Linked DNA regions of Styela clava. The protein of the gene in region 2 binds, or shares a complex with, the protein of the main gene of each other region. Links are inferred from orthologs where the notes say so. Each region holds a gene or a part of one and is shown on either strand. Other genes may lie near its edges.

Region 1 (17,014 bases), on a different chromosome or scaffold from region 2:
TAGATCAACATCAACAATGCAACAATCTATTGGCTTATGTCTAAAAATAATTAGGATGTAGCATAGAGTATAGGGTTGTCCAAAATAATTAGTTTGTTCTCAATTGAATAATTCTGTTATAACTGTATTAAAACCCATGTAATTCAAATTACTTATTTTACCTGTGATTGTGTATTGATTTTGACTAAATTATGAAATAATTTACAATTGCTGGAATCTTTGGTTATTAAAGGGTTCTAGTATTGAATCCAGCGTTTATTGATGTTTTTTTAGTACTTCAACAATCGTGATTTAATATTCATCATCTTACTGGTTAATACAGGGTTACCCCCCAAAAACAGGACCCAGGCCATTTTATACATACAGTGAACAAAACTTTCGTGCAAAGTGTCTTAGACTAGTGTTCTTCATTCAACCTTTATATCCGTGGTATAACTTACATGTACCAATGTTCAGTTAAGGCTGAAATAAACATTAAATTATAAGCAAATATTGCAATATCACGATACTGCAGTCTGCAATATCACGGTACAATCTAATGGGCTATTGTCCGAAAGTTGTAAAGTGTAAATGGTATAAATTTGATTGACGGTCCTAGCGCCAAGGGGAGTAATGTTTAACGAAATCATCAACCCAGACATGTCCCTGTATTATCTATATAATTTGCGATGTAACAATGTGCACAAGTCGGTTCTTTGCAAAAATGACATTTTATATTTCATGTGCGCCGCGTTTGCCTCGTCTCCAACTGATTATTTTATAATTTAATATATTGGAGTTCAGAATCCCTGACTTGGGCTGTACACCAGGGGTCAGCAACCTACGGCCCACGCTTCACTGAATTATAGTAACAAAATATAGCTGTTTTGTCGATTATATTCTTTACGCAAAAGAATTTATGTGTAGACTAATATAATATTACGTAACAAGAATATAATTTACAATTACTCGTTTAATGAGCCTATAATTTAATTATAATTTAGACAAAAGAAAAGTTGATGCTAAGTGCAAATGGTTTAAAGGCGCAAAAAATATTCGAATGGTCAGTCTTTGCGCGCTGCTTAAAATTTAACTTCTGATCTGTGTGATCGGTCATCCATTCGATTTTTAACATTCTAAAAATATGTGCGGCCCGCCAATGACTTGCAACCTTTAATTTTTGCCCGGGAACGACAAAAGGTTGCCGACCCCTGCTGTACACCTTTCGTATACCGTTTCTCAGTTGTATACCCTACTTATGGTCCGGTATACACTTGGGTATACCCAGTTGAAGAGCACTATACAATCATAAGTTCAAGGGGTGAATAAGTTTTCGTTATTTTCGATGGAGTAATTAACGAATTTATAGGATTTTTTTCGGGACACCCTGTAATACACCAAATCATTTTTTTAATAGCAACAGTTTAAGGCCTTTCCCCAATTTACATCATCTGCACATGAGTCCATTGCTTATTACACACAATCCAGAGAAAATAGCCTTGTAATATTTTTATCTTCCTCATCCAGTTCGAGAGAATTTAACGAACACTAAACAAAATATTGAGAATGTTCTGTATATTTCAAATCATTTTGAAGGATTTAAATTGTAGAATTAATTTTTTTGAAATCGTCGGATTGAAAAGCATAAAAGTGTAGACTATCAACCTGATTCATATTTTTTCTAATTGTTTTCAGCTTATTTCATGCTAATTTGTTAAATGCTAATTATCTTCAATTGAGAAAAGTTTGGTGGTTTCATGCTTTCATAACAATTACAAGTGACAAAAATGCAATGTTTATATGATAGCAAACATGATTAAATGAATTTTGGATTATCATCAATACCTGCAGAGCATTTGTAATAATTTGCACAAGGTGACCCAGAATCGAAGTAATTTGGAACAAAAAATTTCCTTCATTTTTGTAGAAGTAGCACAGAAATTTATGGGTTCTGTTTTCGGGGTCACCCTGTGATGTGAAGAAATGTGTGGATGAGAAAAAAGATTGCAAAAATATGACAATTCCCTGCAAGCTTTGGCTTTTTGAATGTGTTGATACTTTTAGTTGAAATTTTGTTCATACATTTCTTGTGGACCAAATATTTATTTTCATTTAGCATGCTCATATTAATTTTGTGTTTCTTATATTTCACGAATTATGCATAACTTGTTTTAGTTCATTCATTTTGCCACATGTATGATGTATACCTTCTTTTGCATGCTTTTAAGTTAAGTTTCAGCAAAATTTTGTTAATTGTTTGCTATTTATGTTAAGCTTCAATAGGTTTTCATAATTACATACTGATAATTCAGCAAAACATTATTTCTTACCCTAACCATGTTTCACTCAGCTTGTGTTGGTTAGGGTTAAAGTTGAATCCACTTTTCACATGCATTGTCTTACTTGCAGGGCTGAGATGCTTGGACAGCTCCATAGAGATTGACTTTCTGACCAGTATCATTGAACAATTGGCCCAAAATTTAAAATTAATCAAAGTTTTCCAAGTATGTGAAATAAAAAAAAGGCTTGAAAAACGATTTTTTTCCTCCTGCTAACTACATTTCCAACAAAATGTCATGGTTTCGGCTCTTTATTGATTGTGATCACACTAACACAATTTGTGATGATTCCACTTTCTGGTGTGATTTAATTGGGTATTGATTTTGAAGAGTTTACAGCACAGCTCCACTGTATTGATAATAATGATTTGATATTTTTGTGTGACGACGCCAATCAAATTGAATTATTAGGTCCTGAATTGAAATCATATTTAACCATGTGTGCTCTTATTTAGCGCTAATTGCGAGTTATGTGATTCTGCCTACATGGGTGGTATCTGTGCGAGCATTCCAAATTCTGTTTCATCAACTGTGTTGATATTAATAATTTGATATCTGTATGTGATGACCGAATTGAAATATTAGGTTCTGAATTGAAATCATAATCAACTATGTGTGCTCGTCAATTAGCGGGTAATTGTGATTTTGCCTACATTGGTGATATCTGTGCTAGCACTCCAATTCTGTTTCCCATGTTATGTTATGATGTTCAATAATGCTCTTAGTACTTATCTAATTTTGCCATATAGCTATTTTACCATGCAGTAACAGCCAGTACTGCAGTTTTTTCTGTTCCTTTGTCAATCTTCTTCTTTTGATTTGTTCCTTCTTTTATTTACCACCGTATAATTTTGCTTTGGACTGAATGCTATGACTTGTATTCATTTAACTTTATCCTCAATATAACAAAACATAGAAATCTTGTCTTGATTGGGTAATACGCTAGCTAAAGAAGGCAATATGGAAAATAGGTACAATTATAAATGCTAGCATGCAGGGCTGATCACATTGATACTGCCTCCATAGACGTATTTTTTGTACGGCCACCACCATAAAACACGAGTGCCAATTTCAAAACTCTTTGGAAATTACTATTTCAATAAGGTATAAAAAATTATTGCTAGCTAGGCAATTTATTGCTAGCTCCGGGCCGCAGCTAAATGTCATGTCTCCCAGCCCTGCTTGCCAGAGAAAGTATTTGAAATTGTAGCAGATTTGTATTGCTTTAATAGTTAAAGAGACACCCATCATGCTTAAGGTTTTGCAGTTATCCCATCAAAAGAGCTAAAAGGGTTTCCATAAGCACTAAAACCAATAATTCAGTTTCCAGTTTTACTACTTTGGATTGATCTTAAAGCCGACAGTTTGTTGAAACCTTGATCTGAAATCAAAGCTTTTTGCATGTTTTATTATTTATTGCTAGACAAAACTGGTGATTATTCTGACCAAACTGTAAGCAATGCTCATACTACATTGTATTTTGTAATTGAAGATAATCCTAATTCACTTGTTTGTATAGAAAATGATTCAATAATAATAATGAAACTGTTTTGCACAACCTGACCAAGAATCAGGAAAAAGCTAGACTCAACATTATTTATTATTAAACAAGAAATTTCATGTTACAGAGCTGCTAAAACAACAGGCGACTCAACATCATCATCTGTGAGACGAACGTCATCTGTTAAAACAGAGCAGGAAAGATATTTGAACTCAAATTCTTAGCACATTTCTCAAGATGAGACTTAATAAAAGAGTATTCATTTGATGTTAACGTGCGGCCAGAAGTTTAGAAAGATTAAGCTTTTCAGCTTCCAGCTCTTTATTTGGTTTATATCTCTTCAGACGATCTTCTTCAGTGTGCTGCAAAAACAATGTGAAATAGTGTTTGCCATTTTTGCTTTTATTTATCAGTTTAATATATTAAAAAGTACAAGTTTTCCAATCGCTTGCTAAGCATTTACATGATTAAATTATCGTTATTTTCCCAGCAATAACTGCCTTAATTGTGACAAATAGACTTGAAAATATAAATTTATACCTTATTAACCGTAAGCTTGACACCTGGAGGAATATCGCAAGCAATCGTTTGCAATAAAATAGGTGCCAAGGTAGACTGCAGGCCTTGAATCTGTAGAACTCTGGCATGTACCGGTAGCTCGGCAACTCTGTCCATTTGCTGCACTTCTTTTGTCAATTTTTGGCCAACCTGCTTCACTGCTAAATGTTCGGTCGGTAATGCATACCTGAAGAAAATTAAACTTACAGAGTAGCCTTGTAGTACGCCGAGCTTCAAGGGCATTACATTCCTTCTGTTTTGGTTTAGTTCTATGAGAGGCCTGAATCTTTTCGAATCATAACCTCTCTTTGTTAATATACGGGTATGTAAAAAATATGACATGTTCAGAATAAGCAACTACACCTGAGAATGTATTATTTTTGTTGTTTGACCATTCTTTACTTAGTGTTAATACCACAAAACAGATTTTTATCAAATGTCATCTTGAGATTTTTTTTACTTTAAACTTTGTTATTCAAGATCATGGAAATGAATTTATACATTTATGAAAAGCCAATAAATCATTTAAAACATTGTCTCACACTTCTCTGACGTCAACTTTTTCCTGCAGCAATAATCGATGGATGTTTTGAGCAAATTTTTCTATAACAACCATATCATAACCTTCAACTGAAACATTGAGGGGACCGTAAGAATAAGCAGCATTGCTCTCATCAGCAGCAAGTTGTTCCTGTTTTTTCTTTCTCAAGACCTACAAAAACAGGATTATTTTAATAAAAGATGGTCCAAAATTTTTTTTGTTTCTCAAGACCTACAAAAACATTATTTTAGTAAACGATGGTCCAAGATTTTGGGTATTTGGAAAATTCGGTAAAAAATTTAATATAGACTTGGTTCAAAATTATTGCTATTCAGCTTTTTTTTTTTACTATAAGTCTATAACTATTCCAAGTGATTCATAGATTCTTGCTCCACACCAACACAAATATATTTCTGTTATATTATTTGTTTTGGTGTAAATTAAGACTCTCGGATCACTTAGAATAGTTATCTTTACACTTGCTGCAGTATCATATAATTAGTTCATCCCAGGCAAGTTTTTTATTTATAAATTTGTGTCTTCTTAGTTGATTCACCATTGTTATGGTATTAAATAGATAATATCAAGAATTTGCTGCAAAATTGATTGGATAAAGGCTTTTCAATTTGATCAGTAGTCAGTTGTTTGTTTTTGGAAGCATGGACCTGATCGTGGAGGAAGCCGTAACCGACCAGTGGTAGCGTGAATAACCCTACGGCGGTGAGAAGTCCAAGAATCCTATCGCACTTAACTATCCCTGAATGGGATTCGAACACGTAAATCAATTCCTATTAATAACATGTCGCCGTAGAGCTGAAATCATTATTTTTCTCCAGAGTCAATAACGTATAATAGAAATCAATACGTCAAGTATTCATTTTCAAAATTTGATTTCCCTCTACTGTGCATTTTCACAGACAGCGCTGTCCTAGCGTAAGGTATATAGGCATTTCAAATTTACCTTTTTTTGCTTGACAAGGCCGCTCAAACTGAGCATATCACTTCTTAAAAGATCATGTGGAAGAAAACCAAGACGTGCAGCACTTGTACATAAACCTCTGCTACAAATTCCACGTAAAATTGTATAAGAAATTCTAGAAGTCATATTTAAAATCTAAGGAAAAAAGTGAAAAATTATTTACAGTATTGTTATGCAATTAGAAACACGACAACCACCCAATGGGGATATAGACAATTTTTACTATATTGTGTGGAAAGAGTTACAAAATATGTATTTTATAGCTAAATTGACATATTTTAAATAATATTAAACAACTAAGTAATTGGGATCTTCTATTTTTTGGTGGTCTCCGGGGAAAATTCTACCAAGAAGCTTTGTAGGGGTTGGGGCTTATTTTGTCTGGGTCAATTTTTATGCTTTAGGCCACACGGAGTTATTGAATGGTCAGTACTATATCTTCCTAATGACCAATCGGCAGTGTTTCTGAGGTTCGGGTGCTAAAATTAGGTCTATCAAGTTGATTAGAGCCCTAGTGTTCTTTCCTAAATGAAACCAATATTAACAAAACCTGCAGCAGCACATTGTTTACAATTTACCAACATGTCAAATCCAGATACCAAAAGTTATGATTGAGAATAAACAGTGTCAACGCGAACAACAATCTAAAGTTCATATAAATCTTTCTGATTAGGTATTTCCTTACGACTGTCCGCTAACAATTTGCTAGCTAACAAAAATTATGATTGAGAATAATCAGTTTCAATATAAAAACAATCAAAAATCCATTGTTGCATCTTTCTGATTAAGTTTTTCCTTACGGCTATCTGCTAATAATTTGTTAACGAAATCTTCAAAAATCTTGACGTGTTTTTTGATACTTGTTGTTTTATAAAGGTGGATCTTTCTAGTGGAACCGTCAGAATTGTCTTCTGTTTTTTCTGCTTTTTGTGAGTCTAACTCGTGGCAAAGTTGGCTGATAGTCGGGACAGCAAAAGGGTCGAAATCATCAACGCTATCTATATCAATTGGTACACAAACACGTCCGGTTTTAGGATGAACAGAAAAAGGACTCTTTAACAAGTGATTAATACTTGTGCTGACGTTGGCATCGAGACGAGGATAACAAAATTCTAGCATAATTTCTTGTGGCGTGTAACGAAGCTTACGATATTTTTTCATGTCTTCTTGATATCTTTCAGCAGTGGCTTTTCTTATTCTTTCCCATCTAGTTTCAGTTGTACGATTATCGTTATTAAATTCCGTTTTCAATTTTTCCTTCATTTCAGCATCAGGAACCATTTTTAGTACTTTTTCAACGTCTGAAGGGGTTTCAAGAATTTCTTGTGCCTGTCGGTATTCCTCCCAATGCTGCTTCGATATTGTGGTTATACAATGTCTTAAAAACGGGTGGACTGGATCTTTAAGATTAACTCTTTTCTCCAAATTACCACCTTGAATCACACTCAAGTAGTCCACGATCGCAGATCTTGCTTTATTCGGCAATTTTCGTACTTTGTCGTCACATACCCAGCAATGGACTCCACGTCTACCAGAATATATCCACAGTCGATGCATGAATCCAAAATCCTCTCTCAGGGCTCTATCAATCAATTTAATAGCCATTGTCATAAGAGGCCAACATTTTGTACAAATATCAGCTCCTTGACAACATTTTCTAACGTCATCGTAATCAGTCATATCAATGTCAAACACAAGTTCTTTTTCTAGAGGTTTAAAAATGCCGCTATGATATTTATTATGATCTTTTGGTGGATGGGAAAATATGGCTCCAATGTCAATTTTGTGAGGTTTCATTTTCTGGATTTCTTTCTCCATTTCTTGCTGACTTGTAAAAGATTGGTATCGAACATAAATATCATTCTGTAAAGTGAACGAAAATTCCCGGTTTGAAAATGTAGTTTTATTGAGACCTCCGTAACTCAACCAAGAATAGAACGGCCCATAAGGAAACAAGAGTTTATAATAAATTGGAAGCAAGCTTGGTAGACTTGATGCGTCATAAGCAAATTCCTCTTGATTTGTTGTTTCTTTTTTAACTTCGATTTCCTTTTCTTCAGACATAACCAGTTTAGAGAATATTCAAATTTGGTGTTTTTATACTGAAAAAAGAACAATATACAAATTGTAAACTGATAAATAGACACAATAACAACAAAAACTATACATGACATAAATAACCACTTGCGGCAAGGAATGTGTATATCTGGAATGTACAATAAACACTTTCAAGTTTGGGCTACAAAGCTCTAACAGAAGAAGTGCTTATTTTGCATCCTAAATTGGTATGATTGGTTTACAGCTTCACTTCTTAACATTTCCATGATTTAGTTACATGATTGTATTATTTTTTGTACCAAGACTAAAAAGTCAATTTTTAGATTATCTAACCATATTTAGATTACACATTTTTGTATTGTACAAAATTGTATGGTACAAATATAAAACCCTGGTGTACAACTGAAAATCGTGGATGGCCATTCTATACTTATCAAATAATCTATTCAGATATCTGCATTATTTAATAGGTAAGCAGTTTCTGAAATATTTATAGTAAATAAATGTTCATAATCTTGTTCGTGCTGACACCAAATAGCTCGTGTATGTCTAAGACTCTTTAGCAAGTGTGCCTTGGTCAAACAGCCATTTTCATTGCAATTTTGCCATGAGGTTTATAGTTTACCAGCTCAAAATCTTCATATTTGAAATCATCAATATTTGATATTTGTCTTTTTATTTTAAGAAGTGGAAATGGTCGAGGTACACGTTTTAACTGTTCATTGAGAGGTTCAACATGATTGCTGTATACATGAGCATCTCCTATTGTGTGTACGAAATCGCCAGGTTTTAAGCCTGTAATATGAGCGATCATGTATGTAAGAAGGGAATAGCTAGCGATATTGAAAGGCACACCAAGCCCCATATCTGCTGATCTCTGATAAAGTTGGCATGATAGTTCTCCATCACACACATAAAACTGGCACATTGCATGACATGGAGGCAAGGCCATTTTTGGTATGTCTGTAACATTCCAGGCACACATCATAATTCTCCTGTTGTCTGGATCCTTTTTAATTGTTTCTATTACTTGAGAAAGCTGATCAACACCTTTCCCAGTATAATCAGTGTTCATGTCAACATATTCAGCGCCAAAATGTCTCCATTGAAACCCATAAACAGGTCCCAGATCTCCAACTTCACGATCATGAAATCCCAATTTATCGAGAAACTCACGAGAGCCGTTGGCATCCCATATTCGAACTCCTTTAGAAGATAATTCATTTCCATTGGTGCTGCCTCTTATAAACCAAAGTAATTCTTCTAGAACACCTTTCCAAAAGACACGTTTGGTGGTCAACAACGGGAAACTTTCTCTCAAGTCATAACGCATTTGAGCACCAAACAAAGATATTGTTCCTGTGCCGGTTCTATCTCCCTTTATTTTACCCTTAGACAATATCCTTCTGCATAAGTTGAGGTATTCATACTCGCCGTGTTGTTCTTCTGATGTCGTTTCTGTACATTTGCTAGGGCAATTTGGATTGATTTGTGCGAGAGGCGTACCGGTACCATGTTTGCGGATTTCTTCTGGTGCTACTTCCATGGGCATCATTTGCGAAGAAACAGGTGGCTGATTTTCCATACTACAGTTCTACCGTAAAAGATTATTGATTCACAGAATTACCTGACGAATCTAGAATCCTAATTCCTAAGACTGTAAAAGCGCGCGAAGAAACTCAAACTACCCTTTCACATACTCACATCACGTTCGCGCTCCGGCGACTGGTTTGTTTTATTTCGTCAATTTGACATTTAGGCGTAACTTACTAGTGCGATATTTTTGCTTATATTGGGAGTTTTTACATAATTTTTTAAATATAAACTGATTAGCTTTTTCAAAATCATCATTTGTCATAAGACCAGTATAGCAAATATAATTAAAAATCTCATCCCTCTCCTCCAAACTACGAAAACGTTGTTTACAAGCAATGTTGAAAATCTAATTTATCCGATTAGTGTATGGACGATTATTCAATTTGTGAAATACGAATACCTTATATTCTTCATAATAGGATCTAACGTTCAATGCTCAATATTTTAATCAATTCTTCACATTCGTCTCGAACGTTGAAGTATGGGGTTTGCCACGCGCCATGTCCTACGAAAATGCTATTTTTGAAATGGCCCAGCCTCATCTGGATAGTATACTTCTTCTAAAAAAGTCTCGCACTTTCAGAAAATACTATACTAATCTATTACAAGCTATGCGACATCCTTACGATGATTAATCAAAGTAAAAAAGAGAAAAGAACAAACTGCGCCATTCTTAAATAGAATATGTCACTGCTAAGTTCCCGTCGAAACAGGTATATATTTTATAATTCAACAATCTGGATTTTAGAACTTGATAAAAATGTGCCAAGATTATTATGATTATATGCCATGTTTGTATAAATATAGGATTCTGAATATGTGACACGTGGTATTAGTATTTAAAGTAGCCTACATACATGAAATGGAAATAGAACCAAAAGTGAGATGAAAGTGAAGGAAAATATGCAAGGCAGATGGAGAAGAGAATCTACACCAGGGGTGACGAACCAATTTGCTGTAGCGGGCCACTTTATCAGTCACCGCTGAGTGAGCGGGCCGCACAATTTATAGTCGTACTACCGTATGATACCTGTTGATTTTCATCTACTAAACGAACAACGGCATCAATACAGCTGATGTTATTCAATTATATAATGCAATATAAACGCTCGGCTCGGATGTTCCAGATCCAAATTCCCTTTCGAATACCACAGCATTTTTAACACGAAAGTTTGAGTTTACTACCTGCGTATTATTGCAAAATCAATTTTTAATGTACTGTACCATGTACTTTCTACCATTGTTTTATTCATTGAGCATTTTCATAAAGTGAGATTACTCCTTCTCTATTAAACCGTATGCGTTTGCCGATAAGAGAGCGTAACTATGCTACGACAATGGTCATTTTGATCCATTGTTAGAGGTATCGATGATCCAAAAAAATAGATGTGTTGGAAATAGTGTTGTTGCCAGTAATATGAATACGGTAACACTTGCGCTCCCATTCTCTCTGTACAGTTCATGGAGGTTTGTGACTTTACTCCAAACATACACTGAATTGCCAGAATGCTTCGTGGGCCGCAGGTTCGTCACCTCTGATCTACACGAAAGAAACAACGGGTCAACCGCTGTTGGAGTAAGAAGTGATAACTTTAGTAATTAAGCACTTATTAGATAAACGAGTGCTGGATGGAAATTGATGATGCAGGTTTTTAGCGATCAAGGAAATTTATTTTTCTTATAACCTGCCCATTTTGTAAGTAAAATTATATGCTTTTCCAATGAATTTTTTTATTTATTATGCGAGTAATATCATTAAATAAAAACAAGTAAATTCAGCACCGCATCGCGTGGTAGCGCCCGCTATATAAGATATGAGGCATGGTTTACCATCCTTCGAGGCTGTCAATGCTATAAATCGAAAGCTTGTCGTCGTCATTTTGTCGCTTGGTGTTGGGAACTTCAACATTGACAGCCGTTGCCCATGTGTCTTTGCTTGAAGCAGGCCCAGAGAAATGAGCAGGTTCGAAAGTGTCAGCATCTTCATTATCACCATGAACTACCATCACTTGTTGAGGCAATTTAGCAGGCGTTGGCGGTCGATGTCCTGACATAGTTTCCTCAAGCATCCTTGAAACATTACGTGGCAAGTTTCCTGCAGATCGACTAATGCCTGTTTTTGGCCTTGCTCTCGACGTGCGTGGCCTGTATTTCGTTTCATCCTTATTAGTGAAAGATGAACGAAGATTTTCTAAGGGAGAAATTGCTATATCCTGTCCTACTCGCGTTATTGACGGTGGTCCAGGCTTTTTCATAACTATGTGGTTACTCTCCGAACTCTCTGGGACATTAATGAGTTGAAAGCTTTCACTGCTGCTGATGTTGTTTATGAGCTTATTTTGCAAGAAAAATAGGCTTTCATTTGAACTCGTCGGACTACCGTTAACTTCGAGATGAATAGGTAGAACTCGATTTTTTCTACGATTGAATTCACAACATAGGTACGGAAGTCCAGCATTTCGGCGCCAAATAACCCAGGATGTGTGCAATAAAATCAGTATGAATGCTGATGCAAATAGCAACAAACTGTGTAAGGTTAGGAAAGATTGAATAGCAGTGTCACATCCCCTATCGTAAATCTGGGTTTGAACAAAATCAAATGTAGCATCGTTTCCAAGGGAAAACGGAATTGAGGTGCCCATGCCAGGATTGGCCGTAGTCATTGAGATAGCAGTAGAAGAAACATCAAGAATTACGTTTCTTGGAGATATCGAGCAGTCCGAAGAGTTAATACAGCATGACTGGGGGATCCAATCGTAGACGATTCCGTTTTCCTTATCGACTTGAATCCAGTCTTTTGGAGATTTGGCACCACAGCACTGAAACACGCTCTGAATATATAAAAAAAAATTATGCTCTAACCTCTGAAGCCGCTATGGGTTGCACAGATTAGCCGCCATTTCATATAATGCCGATACCCGACACTAATATTCAAAAAAAGGTGGAATATGACATAAATCTTTGACCAAAGTTTCGCTGAGCGACGTCTATGTTTCTATTCATCTTTGCCGCACGCCAGACACTAAATTCTCAACGCCATCCATAAGCTAAATCAGAAGCATTGGCGACTCTTTTCGTCTTCAAGCAATGAAAATTTGATAGGTCTATTACTTGCTAAGAATGTCAATTTATCATAACACTAAAAATAAGACACAGCCTCAGCAAGAAAAACAACAACTATTAGGCAAAACGGCCATGAGTCTATTTCGTGTCCGATAATATATATAATTGACTGACCTGGTAAATATCCATCGCTTTTATATTTGTTGATCCTATGCTTCCGGTTATCACAGAGGACATCGCAGATACCATGTGACTCATTAGTGGATCGCTAACAGCCAATGACATTCCACCCAAAGCAAGACAAATCACAATGACAATTCTCAGAAAAATGATAGAACACAATGAAGTTTTTGGCTCAACGAATATGTCTGGAGAATCATCACGAATTCTTCGTCTTCGGTTAACACGTATCGCCCCACATATTCCGAATACCTGTGTGTCAAATAATAGAGTATTGTGATCGATGGTTTTAAGATTTTGTTGCAAATTATTGTCTATATACTTACCGAAATTGTCTCCAGCATAGTTGCAAAAACGACGAGAAAGATTGCTGAAACATCGCCGACGTCAATGCGAATAGTTGATAGGTGGAAGATGACATTGAAATCTTTGAATATTCCGTAAAATTCATCTTGATCAATCACGCCGGATTCAACTAGCTGATTGAGAATTCCCCAAACCAACAAGATGCCCCATAAAGTGGCGCATGCAAGCAGGTGCAATAGGTACACGAAGAATGAAATCTGCAACAAATATTATTACGTGCACTAAAATTACGTAAATACTTCCTTTCCTACTGTCGTCGTAAGAGACTTACCTTCTCCGACCTTGCCCTGGTGATTGTAAATCGTCCAGTACATATATTCATCATATTTTCAAATACCATCGCCAATAGATGTCAAACATATGGGTTTTGGTAATAATATAATCTTTTTTGTTGATTTCATTTTGTCGAAGTATTTGATGTATTATGACGTCACAAGCATGTTGTACTTGTCTCGTGATAATTTTTTGTCTGGTGTTCCACTTCAGAGTTTTTATCTGGACTTTTATTAAGCGATGACAATACGATGGCATCATGTTCGATGACGTCATTTGTATTAAAGTTGGTTTCGACCAGTATTTGATAGAGTTTGATTTGTGAATACTCGCATTTTTCAATTGTACTTTTGTTCGAAAATGAGCCACGAGAAAAACTCGTACAAGAGAAACATGTTATCGGATAAAATTTACCGGTTAATTGCAGCGTGGAGTTTGAGGTGATAAGTTATAATTTGAGCAAGTTACGTGACTACGTCCCAATGGTTCAAAAGCAATTTTGCGTGATCGTATCCTGGTATCGTATGGATATTATTCACAGACCGAGAAAGCATAGGTCATTCTACTGCAAGAGATATGCAGCGTACTTCGGACATATGGAAGTATGTTAGTAGAAACGATTTTGTTATTGAATATCATTTATGTGATAAAACTTTCAGTATTCGTGCAATTTTACTTTGTGATATCACAAAGAAAAACACCATCAACTGCGATCAGTAGCTACTTGCTCTATCAGTTTCGTGCGATTTGATACGAGTCCATCATCACAGTAGAGTTATCGTTGAAGTGACTATAGGAAGTGGAATTCATGCTATGTTCTGTGTTAGAATAGATATAATAATACTCTGGCAGAAAGTTGGAATATTCATATGAAGTTGGATAGGGGAGAGTGGGGCACAGTGGCCCTCATTTTTTCTTTGGCGATTTTCGAACTATTTACTACGCTATTTCAACTTCTAAATCATATGACTACATTGTAAGAGAAACGAACTTTTTATTTCTTACCAAAGAATTTGCTCAATGGGAATATTTTTCCTGTGAGCCAGGTTTTTTAAAAAAAAAAATTTGTCCCACTGTGCCCCGACGTCGGTATACAGTGGGACGGTGGTTGGATCACAGTGGGACACTGAGGAGGAAATAATTTATAAAGAACAAAACACCATCAGGAAAGAAATTTTGCTGAAATATCGAGCCCTTATTCGTCCTTCAAAGCTACTGGATATTCCATTGTGTGAGATCTTCATTAAATCGGTAGTGTCTGGAAGCTCTTGCCGTGCCGCCAACTTTAACTGGAGCTTCAAGGCGACAGACTACATCTTCTTCATCCAGCCCGAATGTGCTTTCTTCGTCTTCGGGGAAAACAAAAGCGGAATTTGTTGCTTTCGACGGGATTCTTTGCATAAATATAACTTCAAATTCCTTCTCGTCGTCGTCCTTGTCAAGAATTTTACCGACGTAATGCAACGCGTTTCCACCACGCCTTCTACTGAATTTAATAATGGCAAAATCCCCCACAGCTGCCACTCGATCTACACTATCGTCTACACGCGAATCAACTTCACTTTCCAGATCGCTATCGTCATTCAAGGGGACAGATGATTCATCACTGCTCGTTTCAGCAGGTGGCGCAGCCTTCTTTTGCTTGGGGTTCTTTTTAGAGCTTTTGATTTTGGATTGTGAGTTAGTCAATTTAGCTGTTAAAGCCTCTTTCACCGGCGTATCCGTGAGAACTAGCGTCTTTGAGCTCTTTCTCCCACACTTTTTTCTTCGCGGACAGGCTTTGTTGAACGGTCTGACATCTTCTGGTGAGAAATGTGCAGTAGTGCCGGAGGTCCCAGGCAAAGAGCTTACATCGGCGTTGCTTGGCGCAGCCTGACACTCTTCGCTATCATCTTCTTTTGGTTCTGGGCGATCTGTAACAAAGGAAGACAAGAACTCATGGTCGCCAAATATATCTCGATCAAACGGAAATATTCCAGACACCCGAAATCCCGACGGAATATTTTCAGGCGTGAACGCGCGAATGTATGCTGTTTTAGCAACTCCGGCGATATCGTATATCGTTAGAGTTTTGCCTGCATGTTCTGGAAGAGTTAGCCACGCATCAACGGCGTTATTGTAGTAATGTTTCAGCGGCCCGTATACTGACCTGTCCAGAGGCTGTAGTTTGTGACTACAGTGGGGTGGAAATGTGAGGAGAACCAGACCATTTTCCTTTGCGTAATTGAGAGAATCAATCGTGATGTGACTCTTGTAGTTGTCCATTAGTAATAGTGCGGGAGTTGAAGGTGTGCAGTTTGCATGTTTTACGAAATGTTTCATCCATGAAAGAAAGATTTCTGAATTTATCCAACCAGATTTGTTTGCAAACCCAGCTGCACCAAGTGGCGCACCTCTCAGCATATGTTCTCTGAAGTTGACTCTAGGAAAAATGAAGCACGGAGGTATGGAGTTTCCTAGTGCATTGACTGATCCTATCATTGTCACAAGAAGTCCCCTTTCGGCCGAAGTAATCTTTCCCACTTGCTTTATACCTGTTTCGGCAATGATCTTGGACGGCACTTGAACGGTAGTTAACCCGGTTTCGTCCATGTTATATATGGAATTTGGCTCAAACTTGTTACGCTTCATTACGGAATCAAGGTTATCAAAGAATTCGCCAACATTTTTCCTGTTGAAACTGGTAGCTCTCGACAAACTTGTGGCTTCTGGTTTGCGCAGAGAGAGTTTAGGATGACGCTGCATGAATCCGTACAGCCAGTCGCTTCCTGCAAGGGTCTCAACCCATGACCGCGGAATGTTTGTTCCATTTTTAACTGCCATTTTATACGCTAGCTCTCGAACCTCGTCTTTTCGAAGCCCGTAGTGGTGTCTGGATGCCTGTAGCAGATAACTCGAAAGCTCACCTTCTTCCTCATCCGAAAATATTCTTCTTACCGTGTAGTTAGGACGAAAATACTCGAGGCTATCTGAGGGCGCTGAGTCGGACACAGAACTTTCTGACATAAACTTCAGTTTTTGACGTACCTTGATAGGGTTGTTTTGGGAATGGCATTTTCTCTTGCAGTTGTACGCAGTTTTTTGTCTTCATGAATCACCTGCTCCGCTGCTCTCTTCATAACCAATGGATCGATCTGTCCTATGGAGGTTTTTCTTTTCCTTTTACGTGGCATTTTGCTAGTTGTTTATTTAAATCAATTAGGATTGCTCTGAAATAGGAAGACAATCCAACATTGCAACTAGCAAGCAGGAGCGGGGACAGAAGGTAGGCTACTCTAGGTCCCTCAAACCCTACAGAGCTGTGGAGGGGTTCAGTGGGACACGCCCCAGTGTGTACTCGTGGTTGATGTCCCACTGTGCCCAAGCTCACCATTTTGGGATAATTGATCCTCTCACGACAAGTAGGCTAGAGTGCCGATCTATCTTATACCCCGTCATAAGCCACTGTGGGGCACCTACCTGGCATGCCAATATGGGCGACAAAAGTCATGCGGGCTGCAGTTTAGAAGAAAAAAACTCCGGCAATTTATTTTTACTTTGGCCCCCTAAAAACAACGAAAGTCTCCTAACTTTTTCCAATA
Region 2 (17,020 bases):
CTATATTCATTGACATATCATTGGAAAATAAAACAATAACCTGCGGTACTATTTATAGATCACCACTAACTGATGAATTGAACAATGCTAACTTTCGGAATCTCTTGTCCCAAGTTCTCTCAAAGATGAACAGGTTGAATTATAATTATATAATGGGTGACTTCAACTATAATCTTATTGATGAGTCCAATATGAATACCAGCCTATTTGTTGATATTATGCACAACATGGCCTATTATTCTTTGATAAACTGCCCCACCAGGATAACTTCAAGTTCTGCTACCTGTATAGACCACATCTGGACAAACGTATATGATAAAAAAATTAACAGTGCTGTTTTAGCAGAATGTGTTTCTGATCATCTGCCGATTGTACAATGCTCTCTTCTAGAAAAGCAAATTCAGACCAGAATTGAAACGCTTTATCGCCAGTTTACTTCGTCCAACTTGAATACTTTTATGAATGAACTGAATTCTATTGATATTGATGACTTCAGCAGCATCGAGGATCCCAACACTTGCTTTGAAATTTTTTTTGAAAAATTCTCCACTGCTTACTCTCAATCTTTTCCTTACAAAAAACAAACAGACAGATCAAACAAACCTTGGTATGATACTGAGTTACGCAAACTAAACAAAGTCAAACAAAAACTTTATAAGAAATTAATAAACAATAAAAACATAAATGACAAGCACAAATTACAGTTCAATGAATGCAGGAACCTTTATACTCGATTGCTCCACAAAAAGAAATCAAATTATTACAAATCTAAATTTGCTTCTCACAAAGGCAACATCAAGGCAGTGTGGAAAACAATTAATGAACTTATTGGTAAAAATAAAACAAATTCTTGTCCTTTGATTGGATTTGATTGCAGTAATACACAAACTGCAAATAAATTTAATGAACACTTTTCCCAAGTGGCACAAAGCCTGCTTGACTGTATGCCACAACCAGCTGGCTGTGACAAAAATTACATTTCATATCTTGGGAAGCAAGAATCCTCATCCATGTTCTTAAGGCCAGCTACATCATTAGAAATAAAAAATATTATACGCGATATGAAGCCCAAGTCAAGTTTTGGAATCGATGGTATTCCATTCAAAATATTGAAATATGTTCCAGAACATATTATTGATATCCTGACATATATATTTAATCTTTCACTATCTAGTGGATTATTCATTGAAAGCTTCAAGACATCCAAAGTTCTTCCTCTCTTTAAAAAGGGTAGTGTTTCAGATCTTGGAAACTATAGACCTATTAGTCTTTTACCATCATTTTCTAAGATTCTTGAAAAAATAATGTATAGTAGAATGTCAAACTACTTTGAAACTAACAATGTTTTCCACTCGCATCAATTTGGTTTCCGCAAGCATCACTCCACTGCTATGGCTGCTAATGTTTTGGTACACAAACTGACCAATGCGTTTGAATACAAACAACATGCAATTGGAATATTTCTTGATATCTCAAAAGCTTTTGACACCATTGACCATTCCATCCTCTTAAGTAAGCTCTATCACTATGGAATTAGAGGCGTTCCATTCAATTGGATCAAGAGCTACCTTCAAGACAGGAAGCAAATTGTGCAATATGACAATTCATTCTCTACAAATATTTGTGTCATGAAGCACGGAGTTCCACAAGGATCTTTACTTGGCCCATTATTTTTTCTAGCTTACATTAATGACATGTCCAGGTGTCTGAAATCCTCTGAGTCGATCATGTTTGCTGATGACACTAACTTGATTCTTCATGGGGAAAACCTTGAAGATCTATTCACAGTTGCAAACCAAGAACTAACCAACATTCGTAGCTGGATGTTAGTTAATAAATTATCTCTGAATGCTAACAAAACTAAATTTGTATTATTCCATCCAAGCAAGCATAAAAGTGTGAGTTGTTCAAAAAAACTACTGCTCAATGGCAATGAAATTGAAAGAGTGAAAGAAATAAAATTTCTAGGAGTTATCTTTGATGAAAATCTGTCATGGAAATCACAAATAATGCATGTTATTGGTAAAACAAAAAGAAACCTAGCAGTTTCTGCCAAAGTATCCCAGTGTGTTGATCAATCAGCTCTACTAGCAATGTTTCAATCATTACTACTTAGCCATATTCGATATTGTTGTTCAGTCTGGCTTCATGGTAATAAAACACTTGTCTCAAAACTGCAGAGTATTTGTAATAATTTTTTAAGAATAGTTTTTGGTAAAAGAAAACGTGAAAGTGTAGAATCTTACTTCAAATCACTAAATATACTTAAGGTTGAAGATATGATGAAATTTGAAATATTATCTCTAGCTCACGACTTCCATAATAATGCGCTGCCCAATTGCTTTAATGACATACTTGTCAAAAATACCTCCAATCGAAGAAGCAGTTCTGATTTATTCGTACCTTTCATGAGTAAATCCGTGAGTCAGCATTCCTTGTCTTTTACTGGACCCAAACTTTGGAATTCTCTTCCCTTAAATTTGAAGACCTTAAAGTCCAAAAAATCTTTTCAAAAACAAGTCAAGTCTCATTTAGTTTCCAAATATTAAAAATTACTACTGGTGGTATTCGATGACAAAAACTTGGGACACTCCACACTTGCACATTATTGTTTTAATGAAAATGTTGAACAGCTATAATAATATTGTTATATCTTGCCACGACTTGGCCAGAACTAGTCCAGCACCAAAGAAATGGTATTGTGACATGCTTGAGTATATATATATATTTTTTTAAATATATAGGTAGCTAACGTACCCGGATGATATTTTCTTTAAATAACTGCACACATTCTATCACTTCACGCTCGTGTTTTTATCTTTTTCTAGCTGTGATGTCCTTATCATACACGCTTGGTCTTATGTTTGAGTGGTGGTATAAGGGTTGTAGATAGTACAATATTGTTCCTGCAAGGTTACTAATTATTGCAACTAGGCGAGCAGTAGAGCTATGTTGGTTTCTCCCCTTCAGATTTTAATTTGCTGTGGGTCATTGTAATTGGATGTGGTTTTTATATCATTTATGTATGCATGCGTTTTATGTTAGGGCATGGTGTTTGAGTTGACTTGTTGGCCAAGGTATAGATAGTAAAATTTTGTGTGTTTTTTGCATGGTGTGATAAATTTCTCTCTGTCCCAAGCAGAATGTCATCATAGATCATCTATCCATCGCTATACAATGACAATACATCCCATTTAATTAAACAATTATTTTTTGCCTGTAATAAATAGTTCAGAGCGTTCCCCTTCACCTAATCATTGAAACATCTACTCGCAGTTTTATTTTTTGTTTTTCAGGTTACTTCAAAGTGATTAAATGAAGTAAAACACATAAGAAAAAAATCAAAAAAAGACTCCGATATCCTGTGAAATAACAACCTTATTCCTATATCCTTGTCTGAAATCAATACCCAAGAATGAAAAACCTCACTTACACCCTTTGTAACCAATTTATTTCCACATCCTACTTTACTTAATTATAGTAATTTTAGTGTTACCGGTAACTTTAATTACTTACTACAATCTGGACTATAATTTGGCAATAATAGGCTCTAATTTGGGGAATGAAATGGTCTCGCCCACCTCTTCATGCACCCAATTCTGGCAACTTTGGTTGGGCAACTTGGCATTTGACTCCAACTATAATCAGCTTGGCAATATGTTTTCAATAGAATCTTCCTTTTATATCTTAATCAACGATTAGAAGATCGATCAATTCGGCAATGGCAATCATTACAAAAATATCAATATGGTGTGGCAGAAAATTTTTTTTTTCTTTTCTTGTATTTATTTATTTATTTTTTTTTTTGTTTACTGTATAGTATACCCTAAATTTATTGCGTCTTATTCTTACTTAAATAAATTCTCAGTGGTTGCGTGTGTGGCTGGTGGGTGCATGTGAGCGTGTGTGAAATAACTTAATAATTTTAGGTGAGTAAACACGTACCACTTCCTCTTGGCAAAACCTTCCATCTTATATTTTGTACGTTATAAACCTTATCTAAGGTTTTGTTTGCTCCCCTGATTTCATAATCAGTTTTTATTTATTTGTTTTTATCTGTCAAATGTATTGTTATGCTGATTATGGAGTCGAAATAAACTTATACTTATTATACTTATAGAGCGTCGAAAATTCTGTATCCTACAAGTTCATGCGAGAGAACGAAAGCGCCAACAAGCGCAAAAAACGTTGGTTTTATTTTTTAGGGAAACGTACGTAATTCGATAAAATTAGCTATGATGGAATATGTTTATATCAGGTTGTATAAACTAGTAAAATGAATAACCTGTGGCATGTGTCACAAATCACTTCAAAGGCATAGCTGTCTCAGCGGTTAGCATCCATACTAATTGCACGACGAAATAAACTTATTGTCTATTGTTTGTCTAATGAAGCGTTCTCAAGACACATGATTTCTGACCAACTTGAAAGTTAGCATGCCATATTTAAACTGTTTGTCATATTTTTCAGCAATATAGTATTAGGTAAACTGCAAAAATACATCGCATTTTATCATTGAATATTCTTTTAAAGCAGGGGTAGGCAATTAACTTTTCTTGATGGGCAAGTTACAGATAATAGGCTTCAGTACTGAGCTGGAGGCTCAATATGTCCATATATATGAAAAAAACTATGAATGAAAAACCGTTTATTCACAACAGCTAGTCCAACAACTTTGCTAACGTTTTTATAATGAGCACAATTGAACGATCGGGGTCATTATGACGTGATTATCATCGATATTCTCAACAGAAACATATATTTATAAAGACTATAATCATAATTTCAGCAGACAAGTGGGTCAGATCTGGCCAACGGGCTGTAATTTGCCTACCCCTGTTTTAAAGGATGCAAATAAAGTTCCATTAGCACAAGCCACAATAACATGTGAATTTCTCATATACTCAACTTCAAACCTTCCCAATGTCTATAAACTACAGAGTCTAAACATCAGTGACAATAGAAAAAACAGTTGTTCTCCTTTAATCATATAAATTGTAATTTACATATTCCAGAATTGCAATCCTGGGCCATTCATGATCATGACTTGAACCTGTGGCTCACGGTTGGTCATACATTCACACCATAGTTTGCTGCACAAAATATGTTGAGAAATATAAAGTATGATTTAACATATTGATAAATAAACATCAATTAATATTGGCTGTAATATTATTTCCAGCAGTTTAAACATCAACTTCTGTCATTAGGGCATCCAATTCCATTTCTGATTCTTCAGTTTGAGATTCAGGAACTGGTTGTGACCACTTCGGAGTAAATTCTGCATTTCCTTGACTAGGTTTCAGCCCGGTGGTCTTTTTCTCACCTTTCAAGAGCATTTGACTTTCATCAAAGTATTGGTTTGGATGGTTAAGTTGAAAACCTGCTTCATCAACTTTGTGTGTCACCTCATAGTATTTTGTACAAGCAATTTGATAATGCTGGCTTTTCATTAGTTTAATGATCTCGTCAATTGAGTCTTTTGGTATTTTATAGTGATGGAGGCGTTGTTTTAAGAGTTCTGGAGATGAGTGTTTGAAAGGGCAACCGTGGTGTTCACCAGGTGCTGGTACATTTTTCATTATAATATTCATGCAACCATAAGGAGCATAATTTGTTCTTTTACCTTCACGACCAAACATATGTCGGAAATTATAGGAATACTCTTTGTTGAATTTTTCTTCCCCAACTCCTTTACTAAATTCAGCTTTCCAGAATTTAATTGATTCCTCAAGAGTAACACCTATGCCCTTTAAGAAAAGTCCATACTGCAAACGAGCCCAGTGCTTATGATGATGAGTCTCACGCAAAACTTGATGCAATTGCCGCATACATAATGGAAATGAGATTTTAGATAATTCATCAATTTGCTTGATAGATACTTTGCCAGCATTTTTGTTTGGATCGTATGCTTCAGCAAGAGTGTTTTTATTGAATCCCCTAAGTATAGGCAAGAGTCTATCATCCTCTTCTAACTCAGGTAGTGATCTTGAAGTCTGAGCTAAAGCTTTAGATAGGTGTTCACGAAAACGTGTGCTAATGATGGATATCAACTCTGACTGTGGAACATAGGCATAACCTGAGTTGATAAACACACGACGTGATGATACAAGATTCAAAACATCAGTGAAAGGAACTTTATAAAAGTTAGTTGACTGGACCTTAGACTGAGTCATATCGTAGGATATCAATTTTAGATGCGCAGAAAACTTTTCTTTTTCCTCCTCTGAGATTGGATAATAAGTCATATCATTCAACATTAAAAATTGTTTGATACTTGACGTTGATTCACAATTAAATCGATATTTGAATAAATCCACCTCTTTTTCCAAAAACCAACGACGAAGTTCATCGGAACGACAATACGCCAGTCTGAGAATAAAGTGGGAAATGTGATCCTTACGACGCCATTCTAAATTCCTTTCTTCTGTATCTTTCGATGGCTCAGATGTTAATGTAAACCCAACATAATTTTTTCTTAAATAGTCTCCAAGTTTTTGGCAGTAATCTGGACTATTTTTGACATAAGACACTCCTAATGAATCCAAATAGTGCAAAACTTTTACTCTATCATATGCAAATGATTCAAATTCTTGGAGGGTGATGTTGCACATTGGTGGTCTGTTATACATCATTAAACCGTGAGGGTAAAGGTCATCAGATAAGCCATCCGCCAATCGAAGTCGCTTTCTTCTAGAAGCAGATGGTTTGGGTGTTCCACCAAACTGCATTTTTTAGGTTTTGAAGAAACTGCTATTACAATAAATACAAAAACTGAAAAACAAGCAACCATTATGGCATTCAATTAACTTTAACTAAAATCCATTTGGGTTGGTATAGTTCATTATTGCCTTGCTCAATTAAGCAATTCACATTTTTAACTGGACTCACTCTGAATATTATGGATAAAATGTGCATAGGATAAGGGTCTATAACAGCAGTGGGCAAGGTTTTTGGACCTGGGCCATGTAAGTGTGACACAAAAGTTACATTTTATGAATAATATTTACAGTGTTACAAAAGCAAAAGTGGAAAACAATAAGCCTCGTCTCAAAACTAAATTTAAACGCAATCCAAACAAATTCTTTGATCTATTTTTTACCTTCAACATCAAACTTTGGTGTTAGTTCTGTAGTTTAGTTTAGCAGCATCAGGTGGGCCAGATTGTATTACCCAAACACAAAACGGCACACTATACAAATCGGGTAACATCCCGTCCCTCAATATTGGTAATAATACAGTATAACGAAGTTGCGCAAAATACTACAAAAAAGCGCAATCTAGTAACGTCAGCATTGAATTCTTTGGGAACAAATAATCCGATTTACCAAAGAAAAAATTTTTTTACCGAAGCATTCGAGAGTTTTTAGCAAAAAACGGCAATTTTGGTCATGTGACAGCCGCGATTAATTTAGATTATTATTGAGACAAGCATGGCGCGATATGAAACATCTGACGTAGTCCCAGACGCCCCTCGTTTGTGAGACACAGAGGTTTGTTTTATTGAGCCAAATGGAGGGAAATTCTTGGAATTTGGATAGTGTGCTGTACTGAAACAGCCGTATTTGGCTGGAATGGGTGGTGGCTGACTTTGATGACCTTTGGCCGTATCGCCATCTCCCAATCAAAACAAAAATAATAAACTCTCTCTCTTGTCCCATTGGGTTTACCAATGTTTGGTCTATAAGTTGGGTCTGGTATAGTTTAGTACCACATCGACTTCTAGTTGGCCTGGCTCAACAATTTTTGCATATGTCAATCCTAACCCCCACCTGACTACGTCACCGAAAAATTACGTCATTCCGACGTCACAGTGGCGTAATAAGGCCCATCGAAGTATGCGGATGGTCGTCCAAAACGCGCAGACGATAACCCGAAATCGAGCAAGCGATTTCTCTCGTTTTCTCGTCGCAACGATCACGATAGGAGAGAGATCGCCGGCTTTAGCAAGTTCTTATCGGCGGCGCAGATTCCATTTCGGGCGATCGTAATTATACTTTGGCAATCCCTATGACGTGATGGTGACGTAATGGATGGCATAGTCAGGTGAGAGTTAGGAATAACATATGCAAAAATCGTTATGCTACGCCCACTGGAAGTACTTGTGGTACTTAACTATACTAGACCCTATAATTTTACCGACAAACTCATTGTGTGCTATCAGACTATTGATGAAACATTAGTGAGATTATACAAAAACAGCATTATACAATAGTCAGTGTGGTAAAGCAGTAAAGTGAAATTTACTACAGTAAACTTCAACTCTCGGCAGCTCAGCCTCATTTATTAAAAATTGATAAGTTCCTGATACCTTAATTTCTGTAAATAGTGAATTCTTTACAGTTGAACCGTCACAGGGCAGTAGGATCTACAGGTCTATAGAAAAAATGACTTCATCTAGTCATCTGGACTCATGACTTCCATACACATAGGACAGTAGGACAAATAATCATTAGATTGGCATTTTTAAGAAATCGGGAAATGGATACACCTGAATAAACTATTCTAACTTAGGCTTTATATAATGCATAGACTATATCATGCATTTTAATAATTTCAGAGAAACTCTGTGTGTTGAAAATATTATGTCTGTACGGTACAGGCGCGGCGGTGTGGCTCAACGGGCTAAGCGTTAGGAATACGCTCGCCACCGCACCTCTAATTACTCTGCGTGGGTTCGCAGGTTCGAATCCCATGCAGGGATGGTTATGTGCGAGAGGATTGCTGGACTGCTCGCCGTCGTTGGGTGGTTCACGTAACCGCTGGTCGGTTACGGCTTCCTCCACCACCAAGTAATTACTGAAATACATACAGACATTAGAGATGGGTTTTCGCACCATTTAGTTCGCACATTACAATAATTACACATTATAATAAATAAGATACAGTACCGGTACCGTACCTAACTCTTATCACAAATTCTTGAATTCTGCGTCACTGCTGTGACTTCATATTAGTGAGAATCTTTCCCGCGCAAACTATGGTTGTTGTTTACCTGACCCTTAACCCAAGAAAAAATCTGTAGATATTTCTCGCTCTGTTTTATAAGTTTATTTTGATTTCGGCGATACATAACATGCCTAAAAAACATACACAAAACAATGAAGAAGATTGGGAAAACTGGCAAAAACCTCTAGAAAGGGATGAAACATGTGGAAATACATATGCCAGTTCAAACATATTACACAAACAAACATATAAATAAGGATAAAAACACGAACGTTCATCTTTCTGGCTAGGGTTGGGATTTAGGGACTAGTTTTTGAAATCATGGTATCGGGATACCCCGGGATTGAGCCGTAAAATCCCGGGATTTTTTCGGGATTGAGTAAAAGATTGAAACAAGTTGCATCACAATAAAATCACATATTTATTTCATGTAATATCGACGCAGAAATATTAAAGCATCTAGGGTGTTATCGTTCATACGACTTCTTATTTTGTTTGCGAAAAATCCAAGGGCAGAAAACGCTCTTTCTGCCTCGACGGACGTGGGTTTAATTGTTTTTAGGGCAGCGTACAACTTTTCAAGGTTTTCAGGTCTCTTTTTGCTTGTTTCATACAGTACCATCTCTTTTTGAATTACACTAGAGCTCAGGTTGCCAGGTCGCCTGTCTTCTACTTCGTCATCTTCCACAAAACTGTGGATTACTCTGCTAAAGTCATTTTCTTTTCTTCGTCAAGAATTTCACTGTCAACATCAATATGCACAATGTAGCCCGCATTGTAAGCCTCTTGAGGAAATAATCTCTGCAAGATGCCCATGGCCAGAGCAGCAATTCTGGGCCGCTTTACTCTGTGCCCAAATTGATCCTGAACTTGATCAAGATAAGACGGACTTTTTAAATATTTCAATAGATGGACCAACTCAGCATTCCGCCGTTCTTCAATTCGTGCTTTGAACCGGTCTTTTAATGCCTGGCTGATTCCAGTTTTCTGATCACCAAGCTTCTTTAAAGTAAATGCAATTACTTTTTCTGCTAAAAGAATGTCTGCATCTTCACTGGAGAGTGTAACGCAACTTTTATGGGAGCAAGAGCATCACACAGTCCCTCGATAATTTTCATGTCATTTTCAGATAAGTCAAAATCAATATCCAGTCGAACTAGAGCCAATTTTACCTCTTTTCGTAGCTGATAGAATCTCTCTAGCATTGAGAGCAAACTGTTCCATCGGGTTTTGTAGTCGAGCAGTAGTGTAATTTCCTTTCCAAAAGACTTCAAGACAAATGGTTGAAGAGCATCATCATTTTTCACAGGCGACCTTCTGAATATTTTCACGATGTTTCTGACTTTCTTGATCAATGTGTCAAGGTTGGGAGATAAAGTTAAAGAAAATCCGAAATCCTCGCGTTGTTCTGAGTCGTTGTCATCTTCGTCTGAACTGTCACTGTGACAGTCAAGTTCATCAGAGCATACTGCGACCGGTTGCCTTTTGTATAACACGTCACAAACGGCCAAATGAATCGCGTGAGCAAAGCAGATCACATGGAGTGGACCCGTCTCTTTTCCAAATTTTACCATCAAACTAGCACCATCAGTGATTGTGGAAACAATAGCTGTATTCAGGTCGAGACCAAAGGAGTTTAGTCGATTACCAACTAAGTCGATTGCTTTTTGTGTGTCCATGCTGCCGTGGATGCGAATCAATCCCAGCGAATGAAAGCCACCTTGAAAATGACAATTAATGTTCATGTAACGACGATTTCTTGCGGATGTTGTAACATCAAATGTTATGGAAAAACGACCATTATTCAGTTTGGTTGCACAAAACTCTTCCTTGACTAATTTCTTGACGGTTTCAAAGTTTTCCATCACCAGACTACGAACACGTTTGTGTGATTTGGGCAGCGTATAACCATCAGTTTTGAACGCTTGATGTAGCCTCTCACTTTTGGCAATTTGATTAAATGTAAGACCATCCACTGCAGTTAACTGACCAACTAGCACCTCAATGTTGACTTTTTTGACTTGAAGAACGACTCAATTTTTCTGATCTTGGGATTTGGCTGATCCTCCATGCTCGTGCGAGACTTCACTTCAATCTCGTGCTTTGACTTCAAATGAACTATAAGTCCCTTCGTGTTCGACCCAGACGCTTTTAAAATTGTTTGGCACAATTTACACTTCGCTTTTTCTGTATCTTTGCAAAATAAAAAGTTTCTCCAGACTTCTGACTTTCTTTTAGCACTGACTTCTTCAAAGTTTGACATTTTTATTTTCAGTTTCCCAATCAACTCTGATTACGACCGTTTTTGCTTCGACTGTAACTCCAGACTTTACCTCCACACTGCAAACTTGTTGTATCTTGTCTGCATTCTGTACTGATTGTAACGTCAGACTGTGGTCTGTTCCAAACTTCATACTGAGGATTGTAAATCCCGGGATTTTTAGGAAATAATTGCGGGATCGGGACTGAAAAAAACAGTCCGAATCCCGGGATTTCCCGGGGTCCCAACCCTATTTCTGGCATCCAACTCGATGAACACACTGCAAAAAAATAGAAACTAGCAAATTACAATTAAAACAAATTCTGAAAATTACAACTGAAAACTACATATGGAGCAAAGTTATTGGATTACCAATTACAGCCTTAATAAGATCCACATGATTCTTTTAGAGTAGGCTTAAATTCAGATCAATATAAGTTATTGAAAATTTCACTCACAATAAACAAAAGTGTGCAGTATTTTTTCTCCTTGTTTTCTGACATAATTTTTTTTTTATTTGTGATTATTCATCTTGGGGTCATTGCCCATCATTTCTACATGACTGTGGATTTTGCAGCCTTGAGCAATTTTTTTTACGGCTTGATATTTGTATTAGTGTATTTCGTCAAATCTGTGCACCCTAATGGCGCACAACCTGAACCCTAACCTGTTACAATACTATGTTCAGGCTGTGCGCCATTCTGGTGCACAAACTACGGAAGCACCAAATTTACTAGGAAATAAAATCAATACCTTTTAGGTATTTGTTGAACCCAGCTTTGGGTCGCGAGTCGCGACCCATGTATATGGAAATACTGTTGAAACATATGCGTAAAAGAAAGAGTACTATTTCAAAATGCCCGCTATTGTTGCAATTAACAATACAAGCCTGCTAATGCAGTCGGCAGTGTTTTAAGTGGATATACACACGTTGGAGAACAGTCAATTATTTGTTAGTAAAAATTGTTATGCAGCGGGATGATAACGACGATCCGATAACCGATCAGGGGCCTCCAAGGAGGCCGTGGTCCCCTTGAAACTCTATCATAAACTAAAAGAGGCGACCGTGCTTCTCTTGTCTGTTGCCATGCTGTTCCTCGAATTCAGCTACAACAAAAAATTCACGAAAACGGGTTTTAGATTTTATGATTTAATTATTATTCTCGACAATGAATGATATACGGGTGGTAAATGCCAGGTTATTCCAACAGCATGATCATGTTTTGCAACTTACAACCAGTATTTTGTATGTAACTTTGTTTGACAGAGCCCCAAGAGGTCTAACTACAAATATCAAAAATGTGAGGCCAAAAAATTACACTACAACAAATCAAACACTTGTCAAATGTGCTGTTTTTACAATAGATAACAAGTTTACCAAAAAGCATTACATGAAAAATGGTAAAATAAAGATCAATTTAGCAATATATATCTACTTAGGACTTGGTGATATGCATCTGTTCATGATTTTATGTGTTTGTTTCGGAAGTTTAATGACAGAGTTAATTGCGGTTGCTGGGGATGTTTTAAAAAAAGATTGAATGGAAAAAAGTTTTCACAAAATGTCAAGGAGTGAGAGTAGTAGAGAAGTAGGAAAAATACTCTGTTATACCATGTTTTCTTCATTTAATAACCACGCGACAGACTTCTTCGATAATATACGCCGCAATTGCGAGAGGCAGAAATGCCAAGATGGGATTTCCTCGGTGACCGTACATTTGAACCCATGTACATTTGAACCCATGCGTATATCCACGGGTTCAATCTACATGCGGGTGCTAAAACCCATGGGTTAGGGTTAGTATGGGTTTAACTATCCGTGAAACAAAAAAAATTCCATAGGTGCAATAGCATACAGGTGCAATTGTCATGGGTTCAAATGTACGTGGGTTCAAATGTAATGGAACCGATTTCATCGCATTGCAAACCAATATTAGCGATTCTTAGATTTATTCGCGCATTCCCATCTGAACAGCGTGGAAAAGTTTATACCTATCTACACACTTGAAAAACTATGTCAGAAGAGCGTCATATTATCGAATATCAGTGAAGGAATAGTGCAATGGGAAAACACATATAGGGCGTAACTTTCAGTAATATGCAATCAAATGATATTATTGTAGAATATATATTTGAAAACATTTCGTCACGCCAACCGCAGTCCGAAACTTTTCGTCTCTGGCTGAGCTTAGATACCAATTGGCACACATGTAAACTGGTAAGAGGCACGCGATGGAACAGATAATATGAGTATTCATTCCTCAGCTGTCATTTGAGTGGGTACTGCTGTTTTTATTGCAGATGATACTAATCTTTTTGTATTTTAAAGATTTACTGGCATCACCGATTTAAGGATGTCAAGTGTTGGATATAAATAAATGCATAAATGGTTTGAATGAATGAAAAGCTGAAACTAGTATTCTTTAGAACAGCATACAAATTCTATGGAATGAAATCATACACAAAAGCTTGTCAAAAACCTATAGCCCAATAACAGGTGGAATTTGATGCATGTGTGAAATGTGTGTGATGTACTAGTGATCAAACTGTTCGACTCAACTATGTTGGCATAACAGGTGCACATCTCGGTTTCGCACACATACCTTCTATCTCCACTAGGATATATTAATTTGGCCAAAGTCAATGCTGCACCTGAAAGGTTCCGGTTCTTCCAAAAGAAAACGCGTTACACATCGTTAGATACCAGTGGATGGTTTTACATGGCCTTGTTCGGAGTGAAAGACGAGTTCAAATATTCCAATCCATTTCAACTAATAAAATATTTCCCAAGTCCCTGAGCTTAAAGCAGGAAAACGAAATGCAGCGGCAACACAAATGTAGTTTGAAGAGCGCAAAAGAAAGGGGCTAGCTAGATGCTGTCGATGGATCTTGGCTTATATTAGTGAATTAAACTACCATTTATTCTACTAAAATTGAATTTCTGACATCGTAAGAAAATTCAATGTTACTATGTATTCGAAACTAACCCATGTGGTTATGAAATAATTGTTTTTAACAAAAAGATGCTCCCGAAGTATTTGTACCAAGATGGCGCACAACCTGAACATTGTATGTGTACCAGGTTAGGGTTCAGGATGTGCGTCATCTTGGTACGAATACTTAAAATCCACTTAGAAAAATTGCTCAACATTATATACTCCACACCTATCTGGGTATCATTATTTATGTCATCGACATTATATCTAAACAATAAAAAAAAACTTTACGTCCCAAAACAATGTTAAGGCCCGATTCTGCCGGACTAACAAACTTGGCAAACGCTAGACCAGCGTTTCCCAACCTTTTTTGGTCGCGGACTATTTTCTCACCGGCGAAAACCTTTGCGGTCTCAAGGTGCGTTTATTGCAACCGTACTCTGTGCGAAGAAGCAATAAAACCAAACACAACAGAATTTTAACGAATTTCAAAATCGGAAATTCGCCGCAATTACGCGATCGTTAAAATAGCCGACTTTTTTAGTGTATAATGGCCTTTATTGTCGCACAATATTCAATACATGATAACGACGAGAATTTCAAATGATTTCCATTTTAATTTAAAAGTGTTCAACTCGCGGTGGTGTCAACTTACGACAAGATGAAAGCATCTGCTATACATTTCCAGAAAGTACAGCTTGATTTAGTATTTATTAAAAATATATTCAAATGATATTAGTAAATCAAAAATACATATTCATCGTCTTGCTTGTTATTAATTTAATTGTGATCATTTAAATCTGAGGTTGTTATAAGAAATAAAAGCAATACTACTCAGAAAATAATCACAATCCGTAGACGCAAAAATGCGTGGTAAAGTGCCCGATTATATTTTCTTCTGATTCATATTTTAGTGAATTCGACAAATCTGAGCTGTTCGTACAACACTCAGGGCGCTCTAGTACTGTACGTACCAATGTGGAGGTAGTAAAGAAAATAATCTTATGGCAAAATGCCCTGGTTCGTACAGTACGTAGCACCCGAAAGTTTGTGATTTGCATGTCTAAAAACCCGTTTTAATCGGTCGCGGGCATTCATAAAACAAAACTTATGGTGTTCTCGTTTTATTATTAGTATTTTGTATTGCCACTTTTCAATTCAGAAAATTTGGGTTACCACCATTGACACCCACCACAGAAAAATATTTATTCTTCGTTGTTCGAATTCGCGAGAAACAACACTTAGGTATCTATCGACACATGTGTCGTCGGAAATCCGCAAGTGAGTTGTGAAATTCAATCGTTTGATTAGGCGACGCGCAAGTGACCCGTCGCGTCACCTGTTACTAAAGATTCGAATAGTAAATTGCTATTCTAATAGTTGAATATTTAAATATACGCCTAGCCCTACTCAGTAACCAGTAATTATTGACTCGATTAATGTTATGAACTTGCTTTTTGTAAATTCTAACGTAAATCGTAACTTGGCTGATAAGTAATTTCTGGCACGTGCGGACTCATTCAAACGCTCCGCGGACTCATTTGAGACCGCGGACTCTGGTTGGGAAACACTGCGCTAGACATACGTTGCGCATTAGTTCAAACGCATACGTTGTGTTTTATTTATGACAAGTCGTCAATGTTGTATGAATACATTTTAAACTAAGTACACCCTAGATGTATTATACACCCGGCTGACAAGCACTTAGAACAGGCCTGCTCAACCTTTTTCGTCTCGCGGGCCACTTTGTACCAAACATTAATACCAGATAAGTCCTGATTTTGGTGTAGGTATTTACATAATACATAAAAGGCGAGTTTATTAATATGAAATCAATCAAATTAATAATTGCTTTCTGGTTACTGGGTAGGGCTGGCAAATTATTCGAATATTAGAATAGCGGTTTACTATTCAAAAACCTGGTAAACGGGGCGTGGACATAACACTCTCGGGCGAACGAATCAAAGAATCAATCATTACACAACACACTTGCGGTTTTTTGGCTACCACGCAAGAAACACACACATCACGTCAAAGTTAAGTGTTATATTTGCGTTATAGTGTTTTTATTCATTCATTTTCAGTAGCTACGATACTGCTTTAATGTTCAAATAAGCATAATGTGCGTCAATGTCGCGGCAATATCAAGTTTTAGTGGACCGTTTCGTAAAATTTGAAACACCAATACAAGTATTCGATGAAGTAACATAACGGAGATTTCTGAACGAATAGTCGATATATATATCCTGATTTGTGAGACAACGAGTCCGGGGACCAGTACCCAAGATATTGTTGACTTTTTATTTTACGCTGGCGATAAAGACGATCAAAGCCGACACGAAAGAAAGCAATCAGAATGAAATCAATTTGCAAACTTAGGCTCCAAGTTCATTCCTATATTTGAGCTCAGCGTTTGTCTCCAATGATCGCACAATATCTTTATAGTTCATCGAACAGAGTGCACAGTTTTGCGAGAAATAAAAAAAATGACGTTGATGTCCACCAGCGTGCAAGACTTGACACATACGTAATAACCGGCATTTGAACGTAGATAGATGGCAGGAATATTTACACCAAAATCACGAAAGATACTTATGTATATATAGTAAAATGTATGTAAAAGTTTAAAAAGTCTGCTTACAAACATTATAGGGCGGGCCGCAAAAAACACTTCGGCGGGCCGCGGGTTGGGCAGCCTTGACTTAGAATACCTCTGTGAATAGGATCGACATAAATAGCTGCTAATAACACAGGTTTATCAAGGAAACATATTTCTCTGCGTAACAAATCTTGAAAAGTATATTTCGACTGATTCTTAATTTATCATCGTCAAATTTTCATAATTATCAATCTTGTTACTTTAATTATTTTTCAG

Evidence for each region.
Region 1: DNA primase large subunit-like (region 2) and DNA primase small subunit-like share a complex: the UniProt entries of both Drosophila melanogaster proteins name them as parts of the alpha DNA polymerase complex. The link is inferred for Styela clava from reciprocal best matches to the Drosophila melanogaster genes Prim2 and Prim1.

Annotation. Positions count from the first base shown.
Region 1 is NC_135258.1:14,382,405-14,399,418, reverse strand, and holds DNA primase small subunit-like, read right to left. Parts: upstream 7,966-17,014; 5' UTR 7,962-7,965; coding exon 6,654-7,961; 3' UTR 6,032-6,653; downstream 1-6,031. Other genes in the region: rho guanine nucleotide exchange factor 7-like, read left to right, coding at 3,947-4,043; large ribosomal subunit protein mL48-like, read right to left, coding at 4,089-4,181, 4,360-4,564, 4,920-5,089, 5,880-6,023; thymidylate synthase-like, read right to left, coding at 8,533-9,540; uncharacterized protein LOC120339549, read right to left, coding at 11,378-12,382, 12,789-13,046, 13,121-13,357, 13,432-13,500. UniProt on the Drosophila melanogaster protein: Catalytic subunit of the DNA primase complex and component of the DNA polymerase alpha complex (also known as the alpha DNA polymerase-primase complex) which play an essential role in the initiation of DNA synthesis.
Region 2 is NC_135261.1:19,108,375-19,125,394, forward strand, and holds DNA primase large subunit-like, read right to left. Parts: upstream 6,804-17,020; 5' UTR 6,732-6,803; coding exon 5,187-6,731; 3' UTR 4,413-5,186; downstream 1-4,412. UniProt on the Drosophila melanogaster protein: Regulatory subunit of the DNA primase complex and component of the DNA polymerase alpha complex (also known as the alpha DNA polymerase-primase complex) which play an essential role in the initiation of DNA synthesis.